2 linked regions of the Oryzias latipes genome follow. The protein of the gene in region 1 purifies or fractionates together with the protein of each later gene. This does not show direct contact. Links are inferred from orthologs where the notes say so. Each region holds a gene or a part of one and is shown in the gene's direction. Other genes may lie near its edges.

Region 1 (3,685 bases):
ATAAATCCTATGAGGAGTTTAAAAAGTGTGGCTGGTACTAAGGGTGATTTGTTTTGTGGAACATTCAAGATGCCGGCCTCTTCCTGAGGTGAAGCTCTACGAAACTACAGTTGTGGTTGTATATTTAAGCTTGTGGCGTGTGTGAGGAATTTTGTAAAGATCGCTGGAACAAGTTTTCTTGTTGAGGAAAGATGTCAAATTTCGCATTTTGGCGCAAAATAGCACCCAAGCTGTAGGTCCTGTGGCCATCCCATAATAATTTCAAAACTTCCTTTGAATATGTTATGTTGGACATGTGTGTTTTTGCTACATTAGTGTATTTAGAAAAATTTTTTTAAGCCCCATAGGAGATTTTTGCCCCATTCCTTTTTTTATGGTTCATTCACTAGGTCAAGAAATCATTTTCACTGGGTGAATTTGGCAAGTTTTTGAGCATATGGCGGGGGTGAAATTATTGCTCGAAGGCAAAGTGAGACAGATAAATTGCAAAAATAATATGGTCCTTGCAATCCTGCTGTGGGTCATATAAATGTATATAAGAGTAATACTTGGTTATTTAATATTCTTTATTGCACAAAACCAGTCCAAAATCCCCCATTTTCATTTAAGATTTTTTACATGACTGCAAAGCCGTTCACAACATTGGTTGTGGTGCAGCGGTAGGGCGGTTTACCCATGATCATAAGATTGCAGGTTCAATTCCTACATGCCTTGCATGCCCATGAGTTGATGTGTCCTTGATCAAGACACTGAACCCCACCTTGCCTCTGGTGGTAGGCGGGTGCCTTTGTTTAGCAGCGGAGCCGCCACCAGTGTGTGAATGTGTGTGTGACTGGGTGAATAGGTCTGTGACTGTAAAGCGCTTTGGGCCTTGTAGGTAGAAAAGCGCTATATAAGTATACGCCATTTACAATTTTACCATTTCACAAAGATGTACTAACAGAGTCTTTAAAAACAGGTGTGTTACCTCTGTAATGCTTTGCCTCTAGTGCATCTGGCACAAGAGCTACTTCTTTTGCTCCACAAAAAGTCAGAGTACTGTGTTGGCTTGTAGCCTGTCCAGTAAATGTTTATCTTTCTCAAAATAAAATTAAGCAAATGTAACTTTGCATATATCAGTAAACTGTTTAAGCATTAAAATTATGGAGCATTTGCAAATGTCTTGACTTGTTTTGAGAGTTTTAAAAAACATTTAGACCATAAACAAATTTAGTTGTATTGATTTAGTTTTTGACTCTCTGCCACTCTTTCCTTTCAAAGCAATTAACCAGGACACAGAGCTATAGATAAGCATGGATTACAAAGTGTGTTTGTTTTTGAAGTATCTGTTTTAAGTTGTAGCTATGCATAATTTCCTAAATTCCTTCAAATTCTCCAAAGTTTTAAGAAATATAAAATATTTTGTTGTTAATACAGGAAACACTGAAATATAAAATTAACAATAGAAGTGTCTTTAGCAAACTTACGTAAGAAACTAAACTAACACAAGAGTTGCTCCCAGAAATAATACAGTAAGACATGCATTCAATTGTGGACTTACTTCATTAATATGGGCATGTTTCTTCTACATCCATGACAGAGTACAGGGTCTGGACATTAGAACCTTGTGTGGAGCAGCAGTACACAGGCTATCTAACCATCCTAAACAAGAATTTTTCTACTGAATTGTCCTCTCACAGCAGTCCTGTGTTTAAAAGAGAAGCCAAGGGAATCCAAAACACGGTGAGCAGCAAAATCCAACATGTCTTCATGCTGACTGACACAAGAGGAACCTGATAATCAGAAATGATTTAGAAATGTAAAAGTTTGTTGATGGATCTTAATCTTATCTCATAAAGCAAGGAAATCCTCTCAGACATGTGTCTAGAAAAATTGAAATCATAATGTATAACTGTTATTGCTGCATGGCTACTTTCCACTAAAAATGCAAAAAAAAAAAAGTACTCTTTCAAATTCTGGAGAGATTCTGTGATTGACTCAGTTCTGTGGGAGTTTAGGGCATTGCCATCTTGTTATTGACCAAATGAGGAAACAGTTGTGTATTTGTAAAATCTCCTTGTACAAACTTTCTACATTGAGAGTGCCTCCTGTGGTGACATCATAGTGCTCTTTTTCTTTAAGACATTAAGGCTATGATTCATTTGCTGTTGGTGAAATGTTATCATGCTAAAAACTCCCTCATACCAATCAAAACTAGCATTAAAACAGTGAACCATTGGGTTTGTTCTTAGCATAGAAGAATTATCTCTATTTTTATTGGAAGAAATAAAGACTTTAAGATCTGTTTGAAATTTAGAAACTGAAACATCAGACAACATTATTTTTTTCTGTCTTTTAGGTCAAGAATATAATGAAGGCTTCATGTCTGTCACGATACTTTAACTACACCACTGTTTTTGCTTTTGGGTAGGTAAAGCAATTTATTAAATGAAAAACAATGTATTTCAAATGTGAAACATTAAACCAAAAGTGTATACACAAATATGAAAGATAACACAAAAAAAATGAAATTAATTTGACACAAACAGTAAAAAAAAATATTGAAAAGTTTAAAATTCTTTAATCTTTCTTCAAATTATTATTATTAAAGAGGTGGTAAATAATCCTTAGGATATTTATTTGAAACCCCAAACAAGTGTGTGGACTATGAAATGTAATTTAGATTGTATAATATATTTTTAGTTCAGTTTTATCTATGTTACTTTAGCAAAATTCTTTACACTTTGAAGCAGTGATCACACTGTCAAAAAAAAGTCATGAGAAAATTGCAGCCCAATTCTAAGACTGAAAATTCTTGCTTTTCTTTCAAATTTTTTACACATTTTTGCAATTATTAAATTTTTATACGACAATTTTCAATGCAAAAATGCATCTAAATTGCTAGGAAGCAAATCACAGCAACCTTTAAGGGTTTACGGCGAAAAGGAACACAGCAAAAATATATATTCTGAGCTTGAGTGCATGTGTTTGGGTTTTTCAGACCATACTAATGAAAAAATAAACAATTTGAAGCAGCTAGGCTTGCAGTTGTGCTTATTAGTCAGAAAAGCAATTGAGTCAAACAGAAATAAATTCAGTACTTGAAAAGTACTGAATTTAGGAGGGAAGGAAAAGTTGTAGAATCAGTTCCATTAGATTTTGATGTTCAAGATTCATGTTCAAGATTCAGCTTTATTTGAATTATTGACCTTTTTTCTTCAAGCCAGGGCAGTCTGGTGGCTCATTTCTGGATAGTTCTGTCCGTACCCAGGAGCCATGATGGTGGAGTCACAGTGGAGAAGGTGACAAGGACCCTGGAGGAGGGCCTGAGAGAGCGATCAGTAACGGAAGACACAAGCAGCATTGATGGCTTTCTGTTCCACCTTCCCACGCTGTCTGTCAGTGGTGAGAAAAAAACATTTTTAGTGGGAGGGTGCATGATGGAGATACAGCAAGTGCTTTTAAACCAGAAATTTTTTATTTTATTTTACAGGAAATATTTTTGTGTCTTTGTTCTATTCCCACAGAAACTGATCCCAAAGTCATAGCTCTTTTAAAGGCTTCCTTTGGTATAAATGTTTCTTTCTTTTCTTTTTTCAAACATGCATGCAACAATGGAGACAGTTTTTTTTGGGGTTGATTACAAATGAATTGTATGGATAAACAAGAGTCACTTGCATTGACTGTTTATCACAGTTAAGGAAAA
Region 2 (3,685 bases), on another chromosome or scaffold:
CCCTACTGATGGTTCAGATGAATTTGCCTGAAGGTATGAGAACCTCAGAGGTGGTAACTTGTGACGATGACCAATTGTTCAGAACCTATCAAACTGTTTTTCTGCTATTATTTTGTGACTGGATTGTCCACACCTTTTTGCACTGATTTTCTTAGTCCTCTGAATCTATTTTGACGCAGACATAACTGTTTTTTTCTGGAAATGCTAACACCGCTGCTCAAACTGCAACTCTGGTCTTAATTTGCAATCAATGAGCCCAGAAGAAGAGCTCTACAGCAGGGCTGTCAGAATCCAGGCCTTTGAGGGCCAGTGTCCAAAACTGTTTTCCAACCAATCTCCCACTGAAGCTCCTTATTGGCAGATAGGCGGGATTCCTGGAAAACCAGTAGAAGACCGGCCTTCGAGGCCTGGAGTTTGACCCCCCTGCTCCACAGGGATTACGTGTGGTCTGAGTCCTTTAAAAATTTAAATAAGCATTTAAGTGAAATTCAACTTGGAAACATGCCACACATGGTTAATGAGTGTTTTTAAACCAGCAACCTTTCATGAAAAAAGAAACCTCTTTTGTTATCCGTTAAGGCCTGTACACACCGGGCCGAATATTCGCCAGCCGTTATTCGCCAGCGTTTTTCAACACGTTTTTTGTGCTTACACCAAAGCGATTTTCGCTGACGATGAGCCGAGCAAACATGCAATTTCATTCCCTGACATTAGATGGCGCTTAATGTAAAACAGAAATACTCCTGTACACAAGGTGGCGCTGCGCAACTTTACGCTTCTTAAAGTCGCTTTTCACTCAGAAGAAGAGAGCAAGTATTTACGCGCTTGTCAGAATCCATCAAAGAAAACATGAATATTTCCAGCACCAGTTGCTCCAGCTCCAGTTCCAGCGATGAAGAAATTATTGTTCTGTAGATTGATGAAAGACGTCGATTTTGGGTACATCCCATAGTTACGAGAAGAGAAGAACATGGGGAGTTTTATCAACTGGTACAAGAGCTGAAAATGTATCATGAGCGTTTTCGGGGATATTTTAGAATGTCCGTCAGTGAGTGCATCTTCTTCGTCTTATTTCTTCGCGGCAGTGTAGCGTATATCTTCTTCGCCGTGACGTATGTGTGCTCAGCAAGACAGTTTTGTGTTTGAGCGCCCCCAAATTGTGTTTTACTGTAAACCAAACCAAAAAAACGAACCCGAGGCCTTTTTTTAAAAATGACGCTTTTATGTGTGGCGTTTTTCGCGTCAGTGTGAACACTCACATTGGTGCCCTTTGTTTAGTCACGAGGCGTTAAATGTCGGCGAATATCGCGCGCGAAATTCGCCTGTGTGTACGGGCCTTTAGTTTATTAAAACCTTTATTCTGACAATATCACTTCATCTCCTGACAGACTCCCTCTTCTGTAAAGAAACTCGATTACTACTTCACTTCATTCCTTGATTCAATGTGCAGAGCTGTTGTTTTCTTATAAAGCACAAGGATTTCTTTAATGCTGGGGTCAAACTGTAGTGAAATGGTTTTAGACTCAAAGAGCTGGAATGTCATGTGGACTTAATCATGGCGACCCGAGACTTGTTCTAGTTCACAGAGTCCTGACTTGGGTCCTGTCCGCCACTGGTGCGTGTCAGTGTCGGGTTCCTATGTCGGAGAGTCCTGTACTTATCTGTATTTTTAGTTTTCTGGGGGCTTCACTCTGTAGAAATTTGGGGAAACCGTAACGGCACATTCAGAAAAATTTGCATGCGCCCCTGGTTTGACATGAGTGGAAGAATGAAGGTCCTCAGACCCTGTTCAGATGAACTCTCTCTCTGATCTATTTTCAGTGGGATCCTCCTGCCATATCCTGAAGTGTAACTCAGACTTTGTGGCTGCAAAGTTGGACCTGGGGAGCAGCAGTAGTGGAGGGGCAGTAGGAGAAGCTCTGCCCAGCAGGGAGGCGGTGAATGCCGGTTACTGCAGCGCCCTGCGCTCCTACACGCTGTGCACCAAGCGGATGGCTCGGCCGTGCCGGGGTGACCTGGCATACCATGCTGCGGTGCAGGGCATTGAGGACCTGCTGATTCAGCATCGTTGCCCCCGGGTGGGGCCCACGGCCCAGCCACGGCCCCTACCTCAAGGCACGCTGTCAGGAAACACCTGTCTGTATGAGAGGAGCTTCTTTAACAGGAAGGGCCAAATGCCAGAGTACCTGCACTGCGCCATCTTTGGGGACCCCCATATTCGTACTTTTAACAACGAATTCCAGACATGTGCAGTACAGGGGGCGTGGCCTGTCATTGACAACGAGTACTTGTATGTGCAGGCAACCAGTTCACCAGCAAAGGAGGGGTTGTACCCCACAATCCTCACCAAGGTGAGCTCAAAGAGTGATGTTTGTTTTCAGAAAGCTTTTGTCAAACTCCACAGGATCTTCACTCTCTGCTGATGCCACAGGGGACTTCTGCTCCTCAGATCGTTTAGTGTCAGGTGTGCCAATCTCTTGCTGACAAATTTTTTATCTCCTGTTTTCTTCACTTTGGAAGCTCTGTTACACATTTAAAAACACAAGGAAGTCTTGGTTGAAGTTTCAGTTTTACTACTCGATGTCACTAAACATAGGCCTCAGACCCATCTGTCCTTGAAGGTGGATGTGACTGTCTGCAGGTGAAATTTCGTGCAGGGCACACAGGTGACTTGCACGAAATATCAAGGTCATAGACTGCTACTTCTACGGGCATGCTGCATGTGGGCCACAGGTCGTAGTGAACATGTACACAACACGTGAAAGTAAGGGGGAAGTAGGTGAAATGCAGGCGTGCTGTACTGACCTTATGTTTTTTAACACCCCCCCAGCCGTTAGTGCTGTCACATGATACATGTGCGCACCCTGCTGCAGCCTGACTGTTAGAAATGAGGAAATTGTGTGACGAGTTGGTCCTGATACCAGCACAGCGACTCGGTGGAGTGTCCACCCTGACGGTAGGGGATTGTGAGTTAGAATCCACAGTTGGGACCTAAAAAGGAAAACAAGGCTTTTCTGCCCTCACACTCAACAGAAATGGATTGAGGGTCAAAACAACCACGTGGTTCCTGAGCAGCAGTGCACCGCTTCCCCAGGGGAGGAGCCAGAACTAATTTCCCAAACTCATGTGTATGAGACAATAGAAGGACTTACCAATGTTGAGACTAAGCTGTGGGACACACCGTCCATATTCAAAAGTGTCATGTAAGCAGAAAAACAAGACTTTTTAGTCTGTGTCAAAACTGATCTATCAAGCTTTTTGATTTCAAAACCTTGTATAGTTAAACTCTCAGTGACTTGGTTCCACACATGTTTTATCGTCACACCTCCACAGATCACAGCAGAACTTCTCGTGTCTTTTGTCTTGTGTTTCCTGTCAGATCACCATAATCTTCAAGAACTGGCGCCAGTGCATTGACCAGCAGCTCTACCAGGCGGAACTGGATAACGTTCCCGCTGCCTTCGCTGACGGCTCTGTGTGGAGCGGCGAGCGGTGGGGTCACCGCAGTCTCTCGGTGCAGACGCAGAATCCCGGCCAGCACGCTGAGATCTGGGCGGCACACATTGCCACGCTGCTGGTGGTGCGCCAGAACGGCGGTTCTCTCAGCTTGTCTGTCCGGTCGCCCCGCAGCGTGGTGGAGGCCTTTGAGCCAGAGCATGACCTGCAGCTGTGTGTGTGGGGCTGT

The links. The genes of interacting proteins can lie anywhere in the genome.
Region 2: the proteins of tmprss6 (region 1) and hemojuvelin purify together in Homo sapiens (co-immunoprecipitation; 3 studies listed by IntAct). This does not show direct contact. The link is inferred for Oryzias latipes from reciprocal best matches to the Homo sapiens genes TMPRSS6 and HJV.

What each region holds. Positions count from the first base shown.
Region 1 is NC_019859.2:24,708,587-24,712,271, forward strand, and holds part of tmprss6 (transmembrane protease serine 6), read left to right. Parts: intron 1-1,579; coding exon 1,580-1,722; intron 1,723-2,338; coding exon 2,339-2,406; intron 2,407-3,202; coding exon 3,203-3,384; intron 3,385-3,506; coding exon 3,507-3,548; intron 3,549-3,685. UniProt on the Homo sapiens protein: Membrane-bound serine protease. Through the cleavage of cell surface hemojuvelin (HJV), a regulator of the expression of the iron absorption-regulating hormone hepicidin/HAMP, plays a role in iron homeostasis.
Region 2 is NC_019874.2:31,647,177-31,650,861, reverse strand, and holds part of hemojuvelin, read left to right. Parts: coding exon 1-33; intron 34-1,821; coding exon 1,822-2,351; intron 2,352-3,379; coding exon 3,380-3,685. UniProt on the Homo sapiens protein: Acts as a bone morphogenetic protein (BMP) coreceptor. Through enhancement of BMP signaling regulates hepcidin (HAMP) expression and regulates iron homeostasis.